Xenopus tropicalis: one gene and its partners. The protein of the gene in region 4 purifies or fractionates together with the protein of the main gene of each other region. This does not show direct contact. Links are inferred from orthologs where the notes say so. Each region holds a gene or a part of one and is shown on either strand. Other genes may lie near its edges. The genes, in order: chd4, znf644, mier1, ehmt2, cbx5, dnmt1 and cdyl.

Region 1 (4,217 bases), on a different chromosome or scaffold from region 4:
GGGTAGGGGTTTGAAATGTAAGTGTCTCCATGGGTATAGGTGACCAGATATCAGTAAGTACACCTGGAATCTATCTGTGTGTGGCCACCATTACTGGAAAATGTATGAGGTACTTTAGATACTGAGATGTATATCTAGCAGTACCAAAACATGGGCCTGTGGCTTTATATTATCCTGGTAAAAAGTTATCGGCACATTTATGAGGTACTTTAATAGCCAATTTAGAAGTTACTGAGTGATTTATACTTAGTTAGCTGGCCTGGACTGGCAATCTGCAGATTCTGACAAATGCTAGAGGGGCTACTATAACATGCCAAAAGACAGTCACTATCTATTGCGCTTGTGGGGGGGCTGTTTGGGCCTCTGTGTTACTTGCCAGGGCCTATCTTGAATATTAGCCTGGCCTTGCTAGTTAGTACCATGATGTCTGCCTCTGGCCTCAGAGGATCCTGTTATAATGTTAATGGCACATTTATGAGGTATTTCAGTAACCATTTTAGTTACTGATGCTGAGGGATACTGAGATTTATTCCTGGTAGTAGATAGTATAAACTTACTACCGGTAGCACATTTATAGTAGCCAAGTTAGAAGCTGAAGGCATACAGAGATTTATCCCTAGCAGTAGTAAGTAGTATAAAGTTACTTGCACACATATATATAAGGTACTTTAGTGGCCAAGGCAGGGAGTTGTCACTGAAGCTGAAGGCATACTGAGATTTATCCCTAGTAGTAGTAAGTAGTATAAAGTTACTTGCACGTATATATAAGGTACTTTATTATTACAGGACTCCATTATCGGGATACAAGGAACAGATGTAGCCAGAATTGTGTGCCACAGATGACCGGATGCTATTTAGGGTATATTTTAGAAGCAAAACATTATGAAGGCCTCCAGTTATTATAGGGCCACAGATATTATGGGGCCCATACAGGAGGTTGCCCAGGTATATCAGTGTTACCCTGGAGAGAAGCTATTAGTCCAGGGCCATAGGAACCCTGTATTTGGAACCACCTGACAATGTGGAGAGGTACTCTGATAGGAAGGACTTATTATGGGATGCTGAGGGTAATGTTACTTACTCTGGGATGCCAGTGTGACTATTATGGGATGTCAGTCTGTGTCTCTTGTCTCTATGGCATGTCAGCAGGACATATTATGGGATGTCAGGCACCCTTAGGTTATTATGGGATGGCAGAAGTTGGTTATTATGGGATGTCAGGCTCCCTGGGTGTTATTATGGGATGCCGGGAGGTATTATGGGATGTCAATCTCACTCATGTTATTATGGGATGCCAGATGGAGTATTATGGGATGGCAGGCTCTCTCGTGTTATTATGGGATGTCGGGGGCCGCCCATCTCCCCGGCAACGCGCTGGTTGCTATGGTAACTGGGCGGGGGCAAGGGAAGGGGCGGGATTTTTACCATCACTGCCGGTGTGTCGGGGAGAAAGGAGCGGGAGAGGCACCGGCTGGAGGCAGCGCATGTGGAGCGGGTATGTGAGGGGCTCTGGGGGGGGAGAGGCGGCTGGCCCGGCTCGGGAGGGCTACGGGCTCCTTCACGAACTTACCGGGATTGTGTGTCCGGCGGGGGGTTCTGTCAGGCTTAGTTCCGGGGTGTCTATTCCCCGCAGCGGCCGGAGGGGGGGGGGAGTGGGTGACATGGGGTGTCCCTCCGGCAGTCCGCCGGGTACTCCCAACTTCCGGCCCCCCAAGTGCCGCCTCATGGAGCCACAACTGCGTCCCCTGCCTTTCTATTGTGTTCTGCCGGGACCTGACCCGGTGTGCCCCCCTCGGTACCGGCCTGATACTGACCCGGTGTGCCCCCCTCGGTACCGGCCTGGTACTGACCCGGTGTGCCCCCCTCGGTACCGGCCTGGTACTGACCCGGTGTGCCCCCCTCGGTACCGGCCTGGTACTGACCCAGATGGATCCTCTCAGTACTGCCCCCCTTCATTACCAGCCCTCCCCTCCCCCTCACTACCAGCCTCATATTAGTCCATTTCATTCTGTTATTAACCCATGTGTTCCCCACTCGGTACTGGCCTGGTACCGGCCCATGTGTGTCCCCCCTTATGGGTTCAGTACCTTCAGTACCGGGCCCATGGACCCCTGGCCTGTGCCCCCCCTCCTTATACTGTACCATGATCTACCCCCCCCCCCCTATACCATCAGGATTGTGGCCCTTCTGGAACCTTTTCATAGTCCTGTGTAGCCGCAGTGGCCACTTGGGGCCAGTAGCCCATACAAGTCTATGCCCCACATAGGTCTGTAGCCCCAGTATTAGCCAGTGTCTCTGTACCATGTGTAGTGGCTGCAAGCCCCCTGTGTAATATATATCCTCTGGGATATACCATCTGGAACTCGTGTGACCCATTCTGGCGCTTGGCAAGCTGGATCCATTCCGTGTTGCCCCAGGGGATGTATGGCCCATGGGAGCTGTGTCCGGCTCTGTGATACTGAGCACAATGGCGTGAGTCTGTGTGCATTCTCATAGCCACTCGTAGATCCGTGCTTCTGGCCTATAGAAACAAAGCAGCGTCCCTTGGCAACTGGAGGGATGTAGTTGAACTACAAGCTTGTGCTTATTTAATGTGTCCTTTGTCCTTCCCCGTCCCTGTGCTGCTGTATGATGTGAGGCCTTTGCTAATTGCATCCCCTCCTAATTGTGACGTCGGCTGTTTCTGTGCCACCACACATTACCTGGCCAGCATGGCTTCTCAGTAGCCTAGTGCCACTGGAGCAGATACCGGGCCTGTACTGATGGCACATTTGGGCCTATGGGTTTATATATAGTTCTGTGAATAAAATAAGCTTGTACTTACCCATGTGTCTCTCCTCACAGCACCCTGTCCAGTGCCAAACAGTGAGCCCCCCACCTCAAACATCGCCTGCTGTTCTCTGCTGCTACTTCTCACCCCCTGGTGCCATTTTGCTCCGTCTTGGACATGGCCTCCAGTCTGGGACCTTCTTCGCCCGGCAGCGACGGTGAAATTGAAGTGATGCTCAACAGCAGCATCCATCAAGGTAAAAGAACCGGAAACGGACCCGTGTGTGTCGTGCCTGTTTTATAAGTGGGAAAGGAGGTGTCTGTATTGATTTCCCATAGTGTGTGTTGTAGGTTGGTGTGTGGCTCTAGTAGCCAGTGTTGAATTTGCATGGGTTGTATATATAACAATGTGTAGGCCTTCCATTGGGACAGAGCCCACAGTGACCTGGCTGGTTCTGGACGCCGGGTTCAATATGGCAATTTATTTATACTATTTCCTGTGTTCCATCATCTTTGGGACTGATGTTAGGGACTCAGGTCTAGGCCTCCTGGGCATATGGGTAACTGCTTGTTAACCCCTTTTTGGTATGGTCTGTGGCCTGAACTGATTGGCTGTCAGATGTCTACTGGCTAATACTGTATAGAGTGCTCTTTGTAAAGGTGCATTTAGGCAGTTGTGGGCTCAGCCCAGGCATTGTTTTGCTTCAGGGTGTGTACATTGTACTGGCTCTCTGGGTTCCAGTATGACGCCATTTATGTATACATTTGGGTGTCACAAAGGGAATGAAGTATTGAGTTGTTAAGCAAAATGAGTGTTTGTGGGCCTGCATCAGTTTCTGGCGCTTCTGGCCCTTTAAGGACTTGATGCCTGGATTTGTGCACATAGCTCTGCCTTGTGGGTTCCTTGGGGCCCTTTGTAAACCCTTTAAGAGTACTGGTTATGGTTCTCTCCGGACCTTCCAGCCTCCGTTTATTTGTTTTTATTATTTACAATAACAAATTTCTTTAATTCTGTGAAAGTGTTTTTAAAATAGCAGAGCTTGAAAGGGCAATGCAGATAGTGCTGGGGGGGGTGACTGTTGGCATACCCCCCCCCCCCTTCCCCATGGTAGCTGTCTGCCCTAAACCACAAAGCAGGTAAATGGCCCCTGGAAATGACTGTTGTTCCTAGGGATCCAGCCAGTGTTGCGGCTCTGGTCGTATGGGGTTATCCATTATAAATACTGACCTCTGTGCCCTGGATTGGGGATTGGTCTCACACCTATGCTGGCCATATAAACAGATGGTGGCATGTTCTGTATTTATTGGCTATGGTGTGTGTTGGAAATGCCGGATTCTGGGTCTGTGGAAAGCATGTAAAGTGTAAACAGTGTCCCCAGAAGCAAAGTGGCTTCCCGTGTAGTTGCCGGCAGGCTGGCGAGGAAGGGGAGCCACTTCCTGCAGTTGTC
Region 2 (2,772 bases), on a different chromosome or scaffold from region 4:
CCTGCCAGGTTCACCTCCCACAAGCAGCATAGGGCAAGCAGAGTATGGCACACACAGGCAGCACTCTGCCTGTCCTATGCTGTCTGTGTGTGCCATACTCTGCCTGTCCTACCCTGCCTGTGTGTGCCATACTCTGCCTTCCCTATGCTGCCTCTGTGTGCCATACTCTGCCTGCCCTACCCTGCCTGTGTGTGCCATACTCTGCCTACCCTACCCTGACTGTGTGTGCCATACTCTGCCTGCCCTACCCTGCCTGTGTGTGCCATACTCTGCCTGCCCTACCCTGACTGTGTGTGCCATACTCTGCCTTCCCTATGCTGCCTCTGTGTGCTATACTCTGCCTGCCCTACCCTGCCTGTGTGTGCCATCCTCTTCCTGCCCTACCCTGCCAGGGTGTGCCATACTCTGCCTTCCCTATGCTGCCTCTGTGTGCCATACTCTGCCTGCCCTACCCTTCCTGTGTGTGCCATACCCTCCCTGACCTATGCTGCCTGTGTGTGCCATACTCTACCTGCCCTATGCTGGCTGTATGTGCCATACTCTGCCTACAGTACCTATGTCTGAGGTGTGAAGAAGTGAACAATGGGAGTGATTATAGCCTGAGCCTGAGGTGTGAACACTGCAGAGGTTGAACAATGCAGGTATTAAAAGGTGTGAAAAACACAGGGGATTACATGTTTAAATTATACAGAGGGATTACAGCCTGAATCTGAGGTGAGAACCATGCAGGGGGCCAGTTAATCTCTGTACTGAAACCATTTAATGCTTACTCAAAGGTAAACCATCAAAGGGGGCCAGTTAATCTCAGTACTGAAACCATTTAATGCTTACTCAAAGGTAAACCATCAAAGGGGGCCAGTTAATCTCAGTACTGAAACCATTTAATGCTTACTCAAAGGTAAGCCATCAAAGCAGCCAGACAGGTGGGGGGCCACACAGAGGGGGGTCGCGGGCCGCCAGTTGGACAGCACTGGCCTAGAAGAATTTTTAGGTGCTGCTTTATGTTGCTATGTAAACAGTGTCATTTAGAAATAAAAAGTTCACCATAAAAATCATCACAGAATCCCTTTAACCTACTGATCCTTGCCATTCACAGGTTTTGTGGACTTGTATTTCGTGGGCCTTTGTCTATTCAAGAAGACTGGATAAAGCACTTGCAACGCCATATAGTTAATGCTAATCTTCCAAGGACTGGGGCTGGTATGGTTGAAGTGGAATCGCTGCTAAAGAAACCTCCCTCAATCTCTGAACCATCATTTCCTATTCTAATGGAAGCAACATCATAGAACCGAGATTATGTTAAAAACCACAAGACTTGTTTGGTGTACATTGAAACTTTTTTAAAAATAAAAGGTTGATAAGTTTGTTTAAACCACAATGGATACAGTAAAGGCTGATTTGCCGCATCACAGAGACTTTTAATTTACATTAAGCTGTCCAGTTCATCTTTGGCTAAATTGTATATTATTTTTTGTTGATTACACACACAGTGTAATACAACGCAATGTAGTAGTTGAAAAAATTTGAAATAGTGTTTTTCCAGTTTTTGTAACGACTGACATCCAGTTTGGGGGGGAAAAAAAGAATTGGATCCTTGTAAACATTTATTTAAACTACTTTCTCTAATAACAGATACTCAGTGTATTTAATTTAGGGCATTAAGTATTACCATGTACTGCAAATTTCACAAGACTGTTCCATTCAAATAGGGCAATCAGTACTCTTATGCGTAGATGTATGTGTTTTTTATTACACAAATTTTTGTACTAAAAAGTGGAAGGTGAATTGTTTTAACAGATCTTTCTGAAAAGTGTATATATATTAATGGAACCTATTTGTTGTAAGGAAATCCTTTATTTCAGTTGCATTTCTCACTAACTGGTGCATCCATGCTACCTCCTACTTTGTCAACAAAGATGTATCTACCCAATGACATTTTTAAATGTAGATTTTGAGCAAAGTTCTGTTTATAGAAAAAAAATCATTTGCTATTCTCTTTTAATATTTTATGTTAGTTTGGCACCTTAGTACTCTATTAAACACACATTTTGTAAATATGCCTTTCTCACCACACTTAAAGGGTGTTTTTATGTTACGTTTAGCTTCACATTCGATCATTTTAGCAGAAGTTTAAGATTTCAAAATACAAGAATGTTTACAATTAAATTTTAAAACTTGTTTTGGATGTGATTGTGTATGAACATTGTGTAACACTATGCTCTAAGGGCCCACTTACCGAAATATTAAAATAAATGTGTTGTGAGGATGGAAAGTTGAAGTTTAAATGTGTTTAACTTCAGTAACATCGACTCAAAAACTAATTACTAAAAAAAAGTCCAAGAAAGCAATACATAATGAGTTTCAAAAAATATTCAATATTACTATGAACACACTCCTTTTTTTCTGGTCAGATTTGTATGAATTACAAAAATGTCCTTTCTGTAGATGTTAAAGGGGATCTGATGATTTTGTGTATACATTTACGACATAATGGTTTATATGAAATCGATAATTCATTCTCTATCAATCTTCTTTGATATACTGATGCATCCATGACACCTAAATGATTCCAAAGCCAGGGGTGCTGTATGAGTTGCCTTCCAAGATTTTAGTCTACATTTCTTTACCAGGCAAGGGTGCAAATGTTTTTGTAATTATTGACTGATAGCAGCACCCTTTCAGCAGAACTCTTGATGTAACCTGGTAAATGCCAAGTACAGGCTACCTTGCTTTGGAACTGTTAGGTGCCCTCCAATACTTATCCTGTGCCCT
Region 3 (4,209 bases), on a different chromosome or scaffold from region 4:
CATTACTATAGTTTAGTAAATGAAGCTGCTGTTTAGCCATGGGGGCAGCCATTTAAAATAGAAAAGGCACAGGTTACATAGCAGATAACAGATAAGTTCTGTACAATACAATGGTGTTTTATCTGTTATCTGCTATGTAACCTGTGCCTTTTCTCCTTTTTCCAGCTTGAATGGCTGCCCCCATGGCTACACAGCAGCTTATTATATAAACTATAGAAGTGTTTCTGAAGCAAATGTGCAAATTTTACCAGTGCAGGGCAACAGTGCATTGTATTATGATTACTTAAAAACATTTTTATTTTTTGGTGTTACTGTTCCTTTAACTTGAGACAGACCCAGTGAGATACTGCAAATTTATACCTGAAGTCATCAGATGCAACCCACCTCTGGTAGCAATTGGTCTGCTCTGCCCAACCCTTTGCATCACTAATGCGCTGGTAAACTAATTATTATTCTTTACAATTTTTGAATTATTTGGCTTCCTCCTCTAGCTTTTTCCAGCCTTCAAATCAGGGTCACTGACCCCAACAGGCATAAAACTATTCCTCTGTTAGGCTACAATTTAATTGTTATTGTTGCTTTTAATTACTTGTTTTTTTTAATTAAGTCCCCCTCCTATTCTCATTCCAGTCTCTTATTCAAACCACTGCCTGGTTGCTATGGAAAATAAAACCCCAGCAACTAGATAGCTGCTAATATACCAAGCAGGAAAGCTACTGAACAAAAGGTGAAATGATTGAAAAACCATAAAAAATGAAGACCAATTGCAAACTGTCTCAGAATGTTACTGTCTACGTCACACTAAAGGTTAATTTAAAGGTGAACTACCCCTGTAATTCACCATGATTCCTACACTGTCACGTATGGACTTTCTTTCTGGCCTTACAATAAAGGCAACATTTTTTAAAAAAGAAGAGCTATTTTGTAATTGGTGTGTACTCCCAGGTAATATGAACTTGTTACCCCCAAATTCACAAGTAATATAATTACTTTAATAAATGGGTACAGGGATAACAAACACATGTACAGATAAATGAAAGAAATACACAAATCAGACACAGTTAGCCGCATTATTTAAGCAATACAAAACGTTTGTGCTTACATTGTGACAACTGAATTCAGCTTTTTCGCTTTCCCCTCAGTAGCTGTGGGGCCAGACATGGCTTAGCAAATCTCGGTACGACACGGCGTACCAGCTATAAGATATCAGACGCTTCTTCTTGAGCTCTGCCGTGGTTCCGACAACAAGCGTTATTGGTACCCATGGAAACGCTATGTATTCCAACCCGGCTTGGGAAAACGCACGCCCCCTGGCGAACCGCCCTTGTTTTGTGAGAAGCCATTGCCACGCCTGTCGGTACAGTGGGCGCCTCCTCCTTTCTGCTGATTGGTCTCGCCACCTGGCGGTCAGACGAGAGCAGGCATCCACTTCCGCCTTTGCTGCGGATCCTAAGTTTCATCCGGGGTTTCGAGCTGACCCGCGATGTGACCCGTCAGTACGGCAAACATGGCGGAGGTAAGAAGGAAACTCATATAAACATCCCCAGTAGTCCTCTTTGCTGTCACAAATACATTCATCTCACGATGGTGAGAATTCCCTCCACACCTCACGTGTAATAGGCTCTATTGCAGCCCCCTAGGCCGAACCTTTTGCAGCCTTCACTAACTTGTTGCATTCTAGCTCTCCCGCCCAATCTCGCCTTACGAAAACTTCTCAGAGTGTTTCCCGACGCGCGGTGCCGCTTGGGACTGACTGATAGAGCGCAGCTTGCACCCTGATGGGGAGGCAGTGGGGCCGCTTGTACGGCCTAGCCTGAGACTTCGCTTTCGTCCCTTGCTCTTTAGGCGGGAATATGCGCTAGTCACTGCGGAAGGGCCACTCATTGCGCTCTTTCTATACGCCGGCCTTTCATATTTGATTTTCACTAAGATTCCGCTCTTTAGGGTTTTTTCTAAATTTCTCACAAACTTTCATTTAGAACAAGCTTGTGGCGTATTGTTCGCATTTGCTTTTAAACTACAGTTCCCAGTATCCTACAGTAAACGTTGATGCTCTTCTTAATGGGGAAGTCAGTCAAACACCAATTTTGTTTTGCCTAATTAAAGACAATCTAAATCTTTGCAATTTGCAATACACATTTATTCAAGATTGTCAATGCTTTCAAGTTAACTGTTAATCATTTTGCTAATGGATATTAAAAGCAACATCAGTCAGATTTCTTTTTCTCTGCACTGCTGGTTCTGACTTGTATCAATGTAGTACTGAGGAGACATTGTAGAACTAGAGAGCAAAAAGGGATAAACAAATGCAGCTTTCAACTGGAATTACATTAACATATATATTTGTAAAGATATGTTATTTATATTTAGAAATATATATGTTACAGAGAGTTGCGTGATGTGGATCTGGAAAAAGTTTAGTTTAGATAATGCTTTTGCTACGTTGTTGCTTGTTGAAATGTTTATTTCCTTATTGAATTCAGCAGCATGTTATAACATGTACTGTGTTCCATTCCCATAAAGGATTTTTTCTGAAGTCTCTATGAACAGTTAAATGTGCAAGATACAACCTTTTCCAACATGAGTAAAATATTTGTCTATTGTTTTAATTAGGAAAGTTTGTATGTCTTTTGATACTACTTACACTGAAAAGGTCAAAACCTGAAAATGAAACTAAAGTCACATTGTACTTCCTGACTCGTACCAGCACAATTAAAACAAATCAGCAGTCCACAACAGGTATAGGACCCGTTGTACAGATTGCTCGGGACCAAGGGTATTCCAGATAAGGGGTCTTTCCATAATTTGGATCTCCATACCTTTAAGTCTACTAAAAAAATCAATAAAACATTAATTAAAACCAATAGGATTGTTTTGGCTCCAATAAGGATTAATTATATCTTAGTTGGGATCAAGTACAAGGTACTTTTTTTTTATTATTACAGAGAAAAAGGAAATCAATTTTAAAATTCTGAATTATTTAATTAAAATGGAGACAGGCTTTCCGTAATTCTGAGCTTTCTGGATAAGGGATCCCATACATGTATAAAGCTTGTGCATTTGGTGGTGTGCTTTGGTCAATTAATTTTGATTTAACAACATGTGATTTAAGTTTAAATCAACCCGTAGGGCAATGACAGAGGTTTTTTCTTTTTTACCCATGCTACGTCACAGATGACAAAATGTTCAAAATAACCCTGCCCTTTCTAAATATTGATATTTCTTGGGGTAAAACAGTCAAATCAAGGAAAAATCATATTTATTTGACTGATAGTGGTTGGCAATTGCAGATTAATTTTGATGTTTTATCGCCACCTGTCATTGTACATAAAGTCTAGTCTAAAATACGTTACACGGGATAAGAATCATAAATAATATCAAATTACAGGCTGTTAACGCTAGGGCCAAGAAAAGTGAATTGCGCAATGTGGGGAAACATCACTATGGTATGCAGCTACAAGACACCTATGAACCACAGCAGTACCTCAGTGTCCACCTGTCCCTCAAATAAATTGTAACTCTTCTGCTGTATTTTGTGCTATGGTATTCAATCACACATACTTGCCCAGGGTTCTTTTCCTCTGAGCACTGCACCACTTCACTGATGTCCCATGGCTGGCTAGGACTGTTTGCATGGGCAGTACATTAATATTTCCAATTTTACTATACTGTGCTTGCAGTGATTTCTGCGTTCCTATACTGTGTGATCCATGGCAAGTCTGTGAAGATGGTGGCGCTCAAAGGCAATGTACTGTTAGTAGCTGTATGTTTCTATACACTCCCAGTAGCCTGGATAAACCACCCCCCATAGGTCTTTAAAGGCCTCCATAATGATCCAGTTGTTGGTTTACCAAACAAGCAGCTCTTCCCATATATTCCCAGCTTCGCAAAGGTGCATGTAGGCCATAAAGTACTCACACTTTTTTTTTTGTCTGGAATTAAAGAATACTAATATAATTTGTGTTTTTTTTGGTTATAATTACCAGCAGTAACAGGTTGTTTCCACAGGCTCCTCAACCGTTCAGGCATTTCTCAGTCATAAAAAAAAATCATAAAGTTTTGTGCATATCATGTAGATATTATGTGTAATTTCTTTTAGGGTGTTTTTTTGTGTTACTAGTTTTAGTAAATGTATTCTTCATGAACATTACCGTGTTCTAGTGTACTGCCCATGTTTGAGAAATTTTGGGTTCAGAAGTTAAGGTTTAA
Region 4 (3,500 bases):
ACCAGGCCTGTTCTTGTTGGCAGACTTGCAAAAACAGAGTGGTGCAAAGTGGTATAAAGTAAGTGTTATTCAGTGTAAAGATGACCCACAGATCTATTTAACAGGCCATGGTAACATCTACATATTTCTGCCGTAATCTCCAGGTGCTTTACTCCAGTATGTATATTTTTTGTTTCTATAGACTATACTTTCTTATGGGAAAAAATCTATATTTAATGGTCTTAATTTCTAAATACAAATTGTCCTATTTTAGGGAAGTTGCACTCTAAATAATTTTAGCCAACAGGCCAAACAGGCAGTGTGTGTATGTGTGGCCATACATAATAAGGAAACCTCATGCATGCACAAAAAAGTGACTAACTGCTCATATTAATATTTTAAGCCAAAGTTTCATTGCTATAAACAGTATTATATTTTATTTTTAAGTATGAACTAGTAATATTCTAATGATAGTGTATCCTTTTAATATAAACTGTTAAACCTTAGTTCTTGTTTGTCTTATACCACAAGTTTAAGTCAGTGAGGGAGAATTATAGACCATAATTTCTGTGACAGAGGAGATTTGGAGACTGAACACAAGCTTAGCAATTTTTTCATAGACTTAATAAAGCCTGTTTTAAAGGGGACCTGTCACCCTAAGAAATAACTCTAAATTATTTTCTATATTCTTAGTTAAGCAAAATAAACTTTACTTACTCTATATAAATAATATAAATCCAAACCTTGTATCATGCCAAAATCTTGTTTATGTACCAGAATGGTAGGACCAGATGCCCATGCCCAAGCACTGGCTACATCATTAGATGATGAGGAGCGAGGGGGAAAGTGAGATGTGCAGTGACATCTAGGTAGTGCTGAGCGGAAAGCTGAAGTTATTGTCTGCCCCACCTCTATGCCTAAGCAAGCAATATCTGATTGGTAGCTGGGATTTTGAAATGCTTTTATAATGGGCTTGAATGTGTTAATATAAAAATGAATTTGGGTTTCATGTTTAATTTGAAAAGTACTTTTATTATACAGCTTTTTATGTCTGGGTGACAGGTCCTCTTTAATTTGTTCCTATTTATTCCTTACCCAACAATATTAGGGTACGTCTGCAGCTATATCGCACGGCCAAGATGGGCTGGGGTGTGAGAGCCCTGCAGGCAATTCCTCAGGGAACCTTCATCTGCGAGTAAGTCTACTTTTAATTTATGCCTAGTCATCATACATAACATTATTTTTTAAAAGTGTGTACTTGGATTTCTTTTAGCAGCCCTAAATAATTATTCAGATCTGATCTTTATACCATTCTTCATTATATATAGCCTAAATTTAAAGCCCCAACATATCCTATTGGGGGTGAAATGGGCCAAGGATTTTGGTGTATCTGAGGTTCTTTGGAAGGAGACCAAGTCTCTGCATGCAATTTCTTTAAATCCTAGCAGCAAAGACTCCTTTTTGAAACTGTTCTTTACTTTGTTGGGTGCTCAGCAGGACTTCATAGAGGCACAGCTAAGACAAAATCAAGCAACAGCTGCATTTCCATTATTATTTGGGGGATAGTGTTGCTCAAAATAGTATTAGGAGCAATGGCATACTACATCTAGAAAAGAGAATATTCAAATTATGCTTGCTAAAAACAAACTTACCCATGCAAGATAAAACAGTGAATAAGAAAATAATATAAAAGGCTTTTACTTAGCATCAGACTTCAACACATTCTAAACACTGACTTCATATGGATGAAACTGACCTTTCCAGATGCTTTGTAAATTTTTTTTTTTAATCAAATTCAGGTATGTTGGGGAACTGATCTCCGATGCTGAAGCTGATGTTCGAGAAGATGATTCTTACTTGTTTGATTTGGACAACAAGGTAAAAAACATTTTCTGTAGGTACACAGATCTAGAGCAAAGATTTGTCTTTAGGAATATGCACGTAGTAAGCTATAGATCAGTTTGCTCTCCATTTTCTTCTAGTCTGCTTTTTTAAGAGAATGTATGAACTTCCATGTATCACCAGTCTTTATTTAATCTCAGCTAGACCTGCTAACTGTTTTGTTTAAGATGGCTAGAACAAAACAAATGAGAAATGTTAATGGACTAAGGAGAGAGTGAAAATAGCAAGCTTTATAAAACTGATCATCCCCCATATAAAATCAGACCTAAATGCACCAAGAGATGCTTGGTAGGCTTTTTTCCATCTGTTTTTGTTTTATCATTGATTTTTAAGAGGTTAGAAAGTGGTTCAGAAATTGTATGTGGGTCTGTTTCTTGGATCAAATAAATTACACAATTTACATAATTATTGAGGTCACCAGGCACTCTAGTTTCCGGTTTAGTACAATTAATACTATTAAGATTCTTAAACTACTTACTAGAGGCAGATACATTCATTGTAATACAGCTTGCTCACCTTAGGCAATTTTCTGTGGTGCAAAGTCTCCTAGGCGTATGGCAGTGCCCCAACAATGTATAGAACAAAACAGAAATAGACTCTGCACTCAAGCAAAATTTCAGCTGTGGAGCTTACCCCATTTATTATGCCAATGTACCACAAAAATTCAACGTTTCCTTAGTCAGTAGAGTGCTCCCCTGAAACATTGATTTTTTTTGTGATACATTGGCATAATAAATGGGGGAAGCTCCCCAGCTGAAATTTTGCTTGAGTGCAGTCTCTATTTCTGTTTTGTTCTATACATTGTTGGGGCGCTGCCATACGCCTAGGAGACTTTGCACCAAAGAAAATTGCCTAAGGTGAGTGCAGCTATGATTTTTTTTTTTGTTTGCTACAGTTGTTTAAGATGGCCCCAGTGTATAGGTCAGTTAATTCATTTATTTGTGAGCAAGCTGTATTACAATGAATGTATCTGCCTCTAGTAAGTAGTTTAAGAATCTTAATAGTGTTAATTGTACTAAACCGGAAACTAGAGTGCCTGGTGACCTCAATAATTAAGAAAATTGTGTAATTTATTTGATCCAAGAAACAGACCCACATACAATTTCTGAACCACTTTCTGACCTCTTAAAAATCAATGATAAAACAAAAACAGATGGAAAAAAGCCTACCAAGCATCTCTTGGTGCATTTAGGTCTGATTTTATAGGGGGATGATCAGTTTTATAAAGCTTGCTATTGTCACTTTCTCCTTAGTCTGTTCACATTTCTCACACTCTCCATCTTTTTAGTTCATTGTAAATTCTGTCTCTCTGCCAGGATGGAGAAGTGTACTGCATTGATGCCCGATATTATGGAAATGTCAGTCGTTTTATTAATCACCTTTGTGAGCCAAACCTGATCCCAGTGCGGGTCTTCATGTCTCATCAAGATCTGCGCTTCCCTCGAATAGCCTTCTTCAGTGGGAGGGATATCCGTGCAGGAGAAGAACTGGGGTAAGAATTCCATTTTACAAGAAGTGAGTTTTATAGAAATGGAATAAAAGTTGAAATTTTTACCATTTTTGTTTGGGTTTGTGCAGTTACCTGTCGTGTGGCAGCTCCCACCTATTCATTCATGCTC
Region 5 (3,252 bases), on a different chromosome or scaffold from region 4:
CTTTTTACTCTCAGTAGCACAAAAATTGCATTTCCTATCATGTAACAAACTGCTCAGAATGCTCTTCCCTGCATTTCCCTGGAATGAGGGGTTATATATATTAGAACAATGAGAATACCTATAAGCTGTCCATGGACATAACTGTGTCCATCCATCACTTTACCTGGATGCCTGGAACAGTAACACTAAAAAATAAAAATGTTTTAAAGTAATTAAAATAAAATGTACTGTTGCTCTGCACTGGTAAAAGGGGGGGGGGGTTTGCTACAAAAACCCCACTATAGTTTATATAAATAAGCTCTAGCGTAGCCATGGGGGCAGCCATTCAATCTGGAAAAAAGAGAAAAGGCACAGGTTACATAGCATATAAATAATAAACTGTGTAGAATACAATGGGAATCTATGCAACTTATCTGTTATCTGCTATGTAACCTGTGCCTTTTCTCCTTTTTCCAGGTTGAATGGCTGCCCCGGGGCTACACAGCAGGGTACTTATGTAAACTATAGTAGGGTTTCTGAAGCAAACACACAGCTGTTACCAGTGCAGGGCAGCAGTACATCCTATACTATTTTAATACACTTTCATTTTTTTTTATGTTACTGTTCCTTTAAAAGGACAAGGAAAGCCTAATTCACTAAAAGGATATTAATCTGTTAGCCCCTCTCACCACCAAGTGAATTAAATGGCTAACTAAGTGCTAATTGACCCTCCAAAGTGAATAAAGCTCATCTGTTTACTTAAAACAGATGGTTCGCAATTAAGTTCAATTTAAGTATGTTAGAGAATGTCCAATTCTTAGCAACTTTTCTATTAGTCTTCATTTTTTATTTCTTAAAGAAATTTCTGAATGAGTTGCTTTCCTTTTCTGATACTAATTTCCAAACCCCCCCATACACACTATGTATACCACTGTACAGCCCACTTGACGCCCAGACACAAAAAGACAGCATACATACTCTGAGAAGCCTTTCCACTTTAGAAGGAATTCTACTTGTCCCTTTACCACTCTTCGATCGAGAACCTTTTCCACAACATACTCTTCTTCCTCAGAGGAAGAGGAGGCATCTGATGCTCTTTTGTTCTTTTTTCCCATTGTGCCCTCCCTATTGGGCCTAGGACCTGCAAAACAGATATTATAAAATGGATAGAATTTCCTTGGGACATAAAATGACAGGATTTATAAATGTATATTATTATTTACGCAGTATTACTTGTAGGCGCAGCTCTGTAAATTAGAATAGAATTGAAATAAAAACAAAGTACAGGTACAACTGACCCTATTGTGACTAAGAAATTCATGCCATGTGTCAGTGCCCATTTAAACAGGCTTGGATCCCTGGAGGCCCGTGCCAGCGCTGATCTGCCCTTCAACTAAGGTGACTCTAACTCTGTTACACAAACCTCTGTTGGTGTGGGTGCTCGTGTATCGCACTATTTGGTGCCAGGTGGAAGCATATATTACTATCACAGCTGCAAGGGTCAAGTAGGGACCTTAGTGATAATTGGGGGCACAGCAGAACTGGACATAACCATAATGAAGAGTTGAGTATAGAAAACAATTATTTTCATTTAATTGAATACAAAAGGGCACATGTACGTCCACACGTGCAGTGAGCAAAGTGCAGTTTCAAGCGCAATTGACATTTTTTTTTTTTTCTCACAATGCAATGTTTAGTTTATACAGTGTTTACCAATCCATGTCTCTCAGTGAATCCATAGCAATGGGCAAAATTTGTTTTTTGACATTTTTTTTCCTGCATCAGGTTGGGTACCCACTGAATACATGTAGAGTGGTTGGGTTTCGGGCATAAAGTTCCTGTTTTTCTGACAGTCCGGGCAGTCCGCCAGGGTTAAGGTGAAGGAGCAGGAATGTTCCCTCCCACCCATTTTTTCCCTTAACCTACAGTGACATCACTTCCTGTATACAATGACGTCACTTCCAGTTTTACAGTTCTGGGTCAGAAGGTAAAGTTGTCTAGCTGCAGTCAGGGATAGTGGGTTTAGGTAGAGGACACATTGGGTAATCGGTCAGCGGGTCCAGCACAGGGTTTGTCCAACTGGACCTTTGCAGAACTTTAGCGTAGTATATCTGATTTATTACCTTAAGCGAAACCTATCAAGAACATATGTAATTAGTTATGTGGTTCTGCTTGGATAACTTGGTTATATTAGCACCAATACTTTAAATCACAGTAGTTAAAGATTAGTATTGCTGTCTTGCAGCGCTGGGGTCCTGGGTTCAATGGCAGTCAGGCACTATCTGCATGGAGTCTGAATGGTCTCCCTGTGTCTGTGTGGGTTCCCTTGTACACTCCAAAAACATACAGGCATTGGTTCCTGATATTACTGCCCACTAAATGAACTTAGCTTGTAAGCTTAAATGGAGCAGTAAATGATGTATAATAGTGCTGTGCAATATTTCAGCAATTATTTCTCAAGCAGTTCATCTCATGTCCAGTCTCAAGCAAATGAATGAGCCCCAGTGTTGAATGGACAGAGGGGTGAGGCTATTCCATACTGATGATACAGGAAGGTGACTGGCAGGCCTGATATTTCTTTAGTCATTAAGAGTTGATCCAAAACATCTAATTACCCGATAGTAATTGCACTAGTGAAGTTGAAAGAAAGAAGTTGTAAAGGGAAACTATAATTATATATTAAAAAGTCAGTATACCCCCTTGTCCAAGATGAGTTGAAGAGTACTCATTCAGCAAATAAAATTTGACAAGAGCATCTAGGAAAAACTGAAATATCACCATTCCATTGGCTGAAACACTTCAGTGTTTCATGACAGCAATGCTAACTACTGTAGCACTGTGTTATCCCGTCAGCAATTCTCTCCACTAGGGGAAAGAACTGGGAGCTAAATTAGATCATGTTGTGCTCCATTTTGTGGTCTGCATAAAGCCAATGTGTTTGTGTCCCATATCTCTCTGAGTCACCTTGATGTCTCTTTCTAGATGTCCTACTATTGGTTTGGTAGAGGACTTGGTCTAGGCAACTGCATTGGAACATCTTGAAGTCACATTCCACATTCTAGCCACTAATGCATCCAGGAGCTAATGCCATCCACCTAAACGGAAAGCTCAAGGTAGGCTCTGGGCATCTAATATTGCAGAGTGTCACAGAAACTCAGTTACAGCTACTGCAAAGACCATGGGCCAACAAGCCCTAAACGGTGTAATTCTACTGAATGCATTTAGGAATTAGGAAACTGCTCTAATGCCCAATTAAACAAAACGACAAACATT
Region 6 (3,500 bases), on a different chromosome or scaffold from region 4:
TATTTTTGATGTATCTAGTTTATTTAAATCCCATCCTTGCTTTGTAAAGATGAATACTGAAACATTGGTTTAGCTCTTATGTTGTCTCAATTCACAAGATACAACTTGAACTACTTGGCCTTCAGTGCATTATATGCCTTTTGCCTAATAGGGAGGGGGGGGTGTGGGAACTTGCTGCAACCTGTGGTAATGCATTGGCTGTCTAACCAATACCTTCCGTTTTGCAATTAAAGACTTGTTAGTCTGACTTATTTTACACTTTGTTGTAGCACCATTGGGCCTTTCTCTTTGCCCTTCACTTGCCTTCAGGAAAATGCTGTGTTGCTCATAATCAAACTGTTATGCTTTTGGACTTGTAGCTTTTGCGGACTATATCCTAATGGATCCCAGTGAAGAATACAGCAGCATCTTTGCTCTGATGCAGGAAAAGATTTACATGAGTAAGATAGTTGTAGAATTCCTTCAGAATAACCCTGATGTGAGTTATGAAGATCTGCTCAACAAGATTGAGGTGAGCTCTTTCTTGCAAACGCTAACTCCACTCCTTAGATGAGAATACCAAGGAAATATACATTGATGCAACAAATTGCAGTGTTAAGGGTTAAATTCCCAGGTAGTATAACTGTAAAATCAAGATAAATGGAGGGCACTTGGGGCTTATCTAACTTTACATAATTGCCAAGATCAAGCATTTTCTCCTCCCTGCTTACTTTTTTACCTCTGCTAATGCTTAACCATGGGTGAGCTCCTGAAAATGTCTTTTCCCCAGCAGTAATGTAAATTGCCAGTGAGAACATATGCAATACTTTTTCCTACTATCCTTCTTGAGTTGCTGGAAGTGACCCATAGGATCTTAAGGCATTGTGGTAATCCATAAATATTTAGTTTCGGAAAGGGCAGGAACTTATCCATATGACATATGTTCATCTACAGAAACTTAATGGGTTTACATTTTCTTTTTTTTTTTTTTTTTTTACCTCTGCTTTCAGACTACCGTCCCACCTTCAGGCTTAAACTTTAACCGGTTCACGGAAGACTCTTTATTAAGGCATGCACAGTTTGTGGTGGAACAAGTGGAGAGCTATGATGAGGCTGGTGATAGTGATGAGCAGCCTGTTATTGTAACTCCCTGCATGAGGGACCTCATAAAGTTGGCTGGTGTTACCCTGGGCAAAAGGTTTGTTATAGCTGTGGGGCTATTTAAGTTTTAAGTGGGTAACTTGTAAAACAGAAGCGTCTGCAGTTAGTCAGTGCATGTTTCCTTCTCAGTGCTAACTTTAACTTTTCGTTTTAGGCGAGCAGCAAGAAGACAAGCCATTAGACATCCTACAAAGATAGAGAAGGACAACAAAGGACCAACAAAGGCCACTACCACAAAACTTGTGTATCAGATCTTTGACACATTCTTCTCAGAACAAATAGAGAAAGATGCAGATAAGGAAAATGGCATCAAACGCAGGCGTTGTGGTGTTTGTGAGGTATGGCTATTCAAAGTGTGTGGCCCTTATGATACTTCATTGAAAGGAATCTATACTGCACTTTGTTGCTTTTTAAGGCTAGATCAGAGTACAAAAAGCAGTGCTTTCTATAATAGACTAATAAATAGGATTACTTTGCTTTCAGGTTATCCAGCCAGTGTTCGGCCTACTTGACATAAAGGATCACCTGTCAAACACTGCCTTTTGGCAGTGGCAATTTGTGTTAAGACGTTTAAAGGGGTGGTTCACCTTTTTTTAAGTATTTACTGTAATATAATCTATTAGCCACTTTATGAAAAGACAAGTTTTTATATGGAGTTGCTAGGCTAAATTGGACCCAAGCAACCACTAAACTGTTCAAATTTGTGTGCCTTTTGAAGACCCAACTACACAGTGGGCCCTAGTTATGATTTGCTGGAGCCTTCAGACTCCAGAAATCATATTTGAAACCTTGTGTTTTCTAACTCAACCTGGTCCAAAACACAGCGCATCTTGGCAATATTTTAATTTTTTCCTCTGTTCTGAATTGAAGCCTTATTTTCCTTCAGGTGTGTCAGCAACCAGACTGTGGCCAGTGCAAAGCTTGCCAGGATATGTTAAAGTTTGGTGGGGCAGGCCGTACCAAACAAGCCTGCACACAGAGAAGGTAAGGGTACACATGTATATAGGAATACATGTAAGTTGGCTAAATTGACATCTGCTGTAAAATGTGACACTACCAAAAAATACTTCAGGTGTCCAAACCTGGCAGTAAAGGAAGCAGATGAAGATGAGGAAGTTGAGGATGTTGTACCAGAAATGCCTTCGCCCAAAAAGATCCTTCAGGGAAAGAAGAAAAAACTGGAGAAAAAGAACAGGATCTCTTGGGTGGGAGATCCAATTAAGGTATTTTACATCTCAAAATTTGTGTAGGCAATATACGCAATGTTTAAAATATGCATATTTGAAATCTGAGGCGCCAACATCCCATCAAGAAAGTATATAGGTCCATTACTCTTGTGCATTTTATAGATGTCATGCAATGTGGCTTTATTTTTCTTTAAAGACTGAAGGAAAAAAAGACTTTTACCTGAAAGTGTCCATTGACTCTGAAATCTTGGAAGTTGGGGATTGTGTATCAGTGAGTCCTGATAATCCAACAGAGCCTCTGTACTTGGCAAGGTTTGTAACCACTTACTCCTAACATGTAGTTAAAGAGTTGGTTGGTGTGAAGTTGCTAATTTTTGCTGGTTTTAGGATCACATCCATGTGGGAGGATGCCTGTGGGCCAATGTTCCATGCGCACTGGTTCTGCCTCGGCACAGATACAGTTCTTGGTGCAACATCTGATCCCCTCGAGCTCTTTCTTGTGGATGAATGTGAGGACATGCAGTTATCCTATATTCATGGCAAAGTGAAGGTCATTTACAAAGCGCCATCTGACAACTGGTTCATGGAGGTGAGAAACTTGTAACCTAATTAACATTCGCAGACATTCATTAAATCTTAAACAGGCTTGCAATTAATTGCAACCAATAGAAGGCTGGTTGGGTGAGTTAAGTTCTCTCTATTGGCAATCTGAATTTCGAATGTTCACTTGTTTTCACAGGGAGGAACACACACTGATATAAAGGTTGTGGAGGATGATGGAAGCACTTATTTTTACCAGCTGTGGTATGATCCAGAATATGCACGCTTTGAGACTCCTCCCACCCCTCAGCCTACAGAGGACAATAAGTATAAGTAAGTTATTTCTCTTCAGTAGACCAGTGTTCCAACAGTTTTTGTATTGGGTTGACTAATTAGTTTTGCTGGGCATTTAGACTTCCGTGTCAGTCCAAGCTATAATAAGTACACTGCTACAGTTAGCTGTTTTCTCGATAAGTGATCCCATTGTCTAGAAAGCTGAATTGTGGAATGGCAATGCTTTTTTTTATATTTACAAAATTTTCAAATTTCCTTCTGTAGTATTAACAGTACCTCGGGCTTGATCCTAAGATATAATTTAACCCTTTTTGGAGGTGAAAAAAAACCTACGCAGCT
Region 7 (3,500 bases), on a different chromosome or scaffold from region 4:
GCTTTTGTAGATTTTACTTTCTGTCTACATAGCCACCAAAAATGTGGGTGGCAATTCAGGTTTTGCTAATTTCTTGACTAATTTTTTATCTACTAGCATTGTCAGGGCAAAAACATTGCCACAGTATGATGTATTGTCAAAAAAGGTTAATGACATCAATGGTCCAGTTAAATTAAGCCTTTAAGCTAATTATAAATTCCTGGATTTACCTTCCTTTACCTGTGCCTACAACAAATGTTGATTTTAGCAATTAATGGGGTGGTAATTTCTGACTAACAGCTGGCAATGCATTGTGCAAAGACTTTCCTTGTCCTTTTAAGAAGAAACCTCTCTCACATTTAGCCTTCTTTGTATTACTATAAAATCATTTAGCAGCTGCTTCATTTTTGTTAATTCCACTTAAGAGTCTGCATAAAATTCAAGTAGCTCTCGCAATGTACTTTTAGAATTCACCTTCCTGGTTCAGTTTATAAATTTATCAAAAAGTAATTTTTTTGTTCACGGAAAGCATTAGTATTCTTGCCCATCTTATATTTTTGTCCTAAACCTATTTTTGTATTAATTTGACAAAAACTTGAAGAGCTAAATGCATAATAACATCCCTGTTTAAAACTAATTTAAAGACTGGCCACTCATAGAATGATCAGGATAACAAATTTAGTCATAGTCATTTTGTGCATATTGATTAATCCAGACTTGGCATCATAGTCACCCAGAATGTTAAATGTGGTTGGCAAATGATGGGTCTTCTACTTTGAGTTGGAAGCTACCATTTTCATGTGGTCTGCTCCTATGGCTCATGGGTTAAACACATTTTTACAAATTACCTTCCACCTGTTTGGAAAATATCATTTGATTTGATTTAATTTGATACGCCTCTTAGCGTATGTTACTATTTCATAGACCAAAATAAAGACCTTGCTGACTAGATCTTTCACACGTATCTTGCATTCTTTGTGTTTTTGAGACAAGCCATCATCATGTAACTTATAAGAGTAAATATGCTAGAATTATTAGAAATGTATTTTATTAGATTACAATGCTTTAATGGAAATGTATTTTATTAGATTTACAATATACAAAAGGGTAGGAATGAGTCTTTTCACTTAGAGCACTATATAACCTCTAGACTATGAGGTGGTTCTATAGCACATTGACAGTGTTTGATACTGTTCAATAGGCTATAGTGAATTATTAGCTATTACTACTCTGTTGCAGGTAAAAATAAAAGTACTTTGACTACATTACATAAACCCCAGATGATGGTTATACAGCCAAGGAGTGGGACTTTTGAATCTGACAACTGATACCTGTAACAGTGTGTTCTTTGCAGCTGTTCAAAGGGATGACTGTACAGTGAATAAGCCACTGCTGTTCAGGGTCCTGAATGCGGGAAAACATTCATAGTACTTATTCTCATTCCTAGGATAATTATTTGTTCATTCAGTGCTTTAAACAGTAGCAAAGGCTTTGTTACTTTAATAATAATCCAGTGCTGATAACTGGTCCTAGTATAGAATGAAGGAGAACAGAGATCATATCCATTTAGGTTCAGTATTTCAGACTGTGCAAGATTAATAATGTGAAAATTGTTTCATTTATGTGATTCTTTAAGAATATGCAAAGTCTGCATGAGTTTGTTTTGTAAGATTTTTGTGTGGAAAAACTATAATTATTTCAAGTGTATTTTTATATTTTCAAGGACATTTGTAAATACATTCATTCAGTTTAAGAAGCCAATAATTGTTGCTGTAAATGGACCTGCAGTTGGACTTGGAGCATCAATATTGCCTCTTTGTGATGTTATTTGGGCCAATGAGAAAGCTTGGTTCCAGACACCTTACACTACTTTTGGACAGAGCCCAGATGGATGCTCGTCTCTTATGTTTCCTAAGATAATGGGTCTTGCATCAGTAAGTAGTAATCCATTTCACCCTTCTTTTTCACAAGTATTTATTCATAGCAAGTATGTCTTCCATATATCCAAACAACCAACATGAACTTCAGCAAGTTTGTAATTTGTCCCCAATTGTATGTCTATTAAGTTGCCTGTTCACAGTTTAGTGTATCTTAACAACAGACATCTTTTCAACAGTTTAAATCAAAATAGGATGCTATATTTGTTTATAGATATATACATAGGGGCTGTTTTTTGTTTTTCAAAGAAGAAAGACAATTTTGTGGTAATCATTGTTGTAATAGTTACCTTGACATATTACTTTGCAGTGTCTTAAAATTACAATTTGTCTTAAAATTACAACACTTTTGTTTTTTTTTAACATAGTGTGTATGTTATTCACATACAAAGCAAAGGGAGCATGTGAGTTTTTGCAAGATTAATTGTTGTAGGTAGTTATGGAAAAAAAAACATTTCAAGAAGTATTGACTGAGGAGTAAGGAAAAGTCCCAGTGGTTTTGGTTAAAGTACAGAGAAGAACTGCTGAAAAGCTTGTCCTTGATGCTATACATCCCATATTTGGGCACATTTAGCCTTAAATTCAGTCGTGGTTAGCATTTTTTTTTATGTTGGCTCTAAAATCTAGTTGGTGAAGTAGATGCTGAACGGGGGGTGGTTCAAATTTTTTTTCCATACTTTTGCAAATAAGAGATGCAGTTGTGTTAAAGATATGGATAGGAGCTTTTTTTGTTTCATGTGGAAAGCCCGTTGCATGTAATTGCAGTGATAGCACTTGAGGTTCTAGAGGTAGTACTGAGGGGTATGTGTCCCTGGCTATCGACACTGTCTCCAGAAACGTTTCTGTGGATTGAAAAAAAAATCCATGAGAAAATGCATGTTTTGGTAATTTTTGCCATTTCGCAAATTTTTGAGGTGAATGTTAAACATGACCGTACCAATGTGGAGAAATTAGGGCTACAAATTTTGGTGTGAGGTACCACCTTTGAGTAAATTCTGTGTGTTTCTTTATGTGGTTGGCGCCTCTGGTGGATCCTTTTGGGGCTGAGAGGATCTCCTGCCATTGGTTAGACATTAATCGGAGTTGTAGTTCCCCCTTTCACATATACCTGTATGGGAATTTTTGATCTTCCCCCATTTACAGTTGCAATTTAAAGCATTCCAAAAGAATTGCTTTACAATCCCAGGCCTTTTCACAAAGATACTCATGTAGACATCAACAAGAGGTCTTCTGCACTCACCCATTATAATACTGTATGTATATATATATATATATATATATAGGACATTAAGACTTTCTGTGCATTAAGTTACCAAGACAAGCCCTTCCCTTAAAGCAAAACAGGGATTGTTTGTCCATATATTACAATATATTCAAGCTGGCCAACTATGTCAGTCATCCCTGGTCTGGCCAGTCCTACACTCAATTTCATCTTCCATCATGGTGTCCTGTCAAAGAATTTTGAAGATTGGGTTGAAACTTTTTACCAAATGTAATATCTGGAGATGAATATAATTTTTTTTTTTTTTTTTTTTTTCAAACATCCTTAGGGAGGTCACGAAGTAGAGGTTGCCTTTAGTGGAA

Evidence for each region.
Region 1: the proteins of ehmt2 (region 4) and chd4 purify together in Homo sapiens (affinity purification with western blotting; 3 studies listed by BioGRID and IntAct, with this or other methods). This does not show direct contact. The link is inferred for Xenopus tropicalis from reciprocal best matches to the Homo sapiens genes EHMT2 and CHD4.
Region 2: the proteins of ehmt2 (region 4) and znf644 purify together in Homo sapiens (affinity purification with mass spectrometry; 3 studies listed by BioGRID and IntAct, with this or other methods). This does not show direct contact. The link is inferred for Xenopus tropicalis from reciprocal best matches to the Homo sapiens genes EHMT2 and ZNF644.
Region 3: the proteins of ehmt2 (region 4) and mier1 purify together in Homo sapiens (co-immunoprecipitation; 3 studies listed by BioGRID and IntAct, with this or other methods). This does not show direct contact. The link is inferred for Xenopus tropicalis from reciprocal best matches to the Homo sapiens genes EHMT2 and MIER1.
Region 5: the proteins of ehmt2 (region 4) and cbx5 purify together in Homo sapiens (affinity purification with mass spectrometry; 3 studies listed by BioGRID and IntAct, with this or other methods). This does not show direct contact. The link is inferred for Xenopus tropicalis from reciprocal best matches to the Homo sapiens genes EHMT2 and CBX5.
Region 6: the proteins of ehmt2 (region 4) and dnmt1 purify together in Homo sapiens (affinity purification with western blotting; 3 studies listed by BioGRID, with this or other methods). This does not show direct contact. The link is inferred for Xenopus tropicalis from reciprocal best matches to the Homo sapiens genes EHMT2 and DNMT1.
Region 7: the proteins of ehmt2 (region 4) and cdyl purify together in Homo sapiens (affinity purification with mass spectrometry; 4 studies listed by BioGRID and IntAct, with this or other methods). This does not show direct contact. The link is inferred for Xenopus tropicalis from reciprocal best matches to the Homo sapiens genes EHMT2 and CDYL.

What each region holds. Positions count from the first base shown.
Region 1 is NC_030683.2:10,084,815-10,089,031, reverse strand, and holds the start of chd4 (chromodomain-helicase-DNA-binding protein 4), read left to right. Parts: upstream 1-1,417; 5' UTR 1,418-1,495; intron 1,496-2,844; 5' UTR 2,845-2,947; coding exon 2,948-3,026; intron 3,027-4,217. UniProt on the Homo sapiens protein: ATP-dependent chromatin-remodeling factor that binds and distorts nucleosomal DNA. Acts as a component of the histone deacetylase NuRD complex which participates in the remodeling of chromatin.
Region 2 is NC_030680.2:105,038,841-105,041,612, forward strand, and holds the end of znf644 (zinc finger protein 644), read left to right. Parts: intron 1-1,096; coding exon 1,097-1,286; 3' UTR 1,287-2,272; downstream 2,273-2,772.
Region 3 is NC_030680.2:83,762,884-83,767,092, reverse strand, and holds the start of mier1 (mesoderm induction early response protein 1), read left to right. Parts: upstream 1-1,409; 5' UTR 1,410-1,507; coding exon 1,508-1,516; intron 1,517-4,209. UniProt on the Homo sapiens protein: Transcriptional repressor regulating the expression of a number of genes including SP1 target genes. Probably functions through recruitment of HDAC1 a histone deacetylase involved in chromatin silencing.
Region 4 is NC_030684.2:73,967,909-73,971,408, reverse strand, and holds part of ehmt2 (histone-lysine N-methyltransferase EHMT2), read left to right. Parts: coding exon 1-58; intron 59-1,087; coding exon 1,088-1,174; intron 1,175-1,778; coding exon 1,779-1,857; intron 1,858-3,197; coding exon 3,198-3,373; intron 3,374-3,500. UniProt on the Homo sapiens protein: Histone methyltransferase that specifically mono- and dimethylates 'Lys-9' of histone H3 (H3K9me1 and H3K9me2, respectively) in euchromatin.
Region 5 is NC_030678.2:145,634,783-145,638,034, reverse strand, and holds part of cbx5 (chromobox protein homolog 5), read right to left. Parts: intron 1,121-3,252; coding exon 958-1,120; intron 1-957. UniProt on the Homo sapiens protein: Component of heterochromatin that recognizes and binds histone H3 tails methylated at 'Lys-9' (H3K9me), leading to epigenetic repression. In contrast, it is excluded from chromatin when 'Tyr-41' of histone H3 is phosphorylated (H3Y41ph).
Region 6 is NC_030679.2:137,112,283-137,115,782, reverse strand, and holds part of dnmt1 (DNA (cytosine-5)-methyltransferase 1), read left to right. Parts: intron 1-359; coding exon 360-511; intron 512-989; coding exon 990-1,177; intron 1,178-1,294; coding exon 1,295-1,478; intron 1,479-2,026; coding exon 2,027-2,124; intron 2,125-2,212; coding exon 2,213-2,363; intron 2,364-2,523; coding exon 2,524-2,639; intron 2,640-2,714; coding exon 2,715-2,916; intron 2,917-3,066; coding exon 3,067-3,200; intron 3,201-3,500. UniProt on the Homo sapiens protein: Methylates CpG residues. Preferentially methylates hemimethylated DNA. Associates with DNA replication sites in S phase maintaining the methylation pattern in the newly synthesized strand, that is essential for epigenetic inheritance.
Region 7 is NC_030682.2:87,935,868-87,939,367, reverse strand, and holds part of cdyl (chromodomain Y-like protein), read left to right. Parts: intron 1-1,702; coding exon 1,703-1,913; intron 1,914-3,500.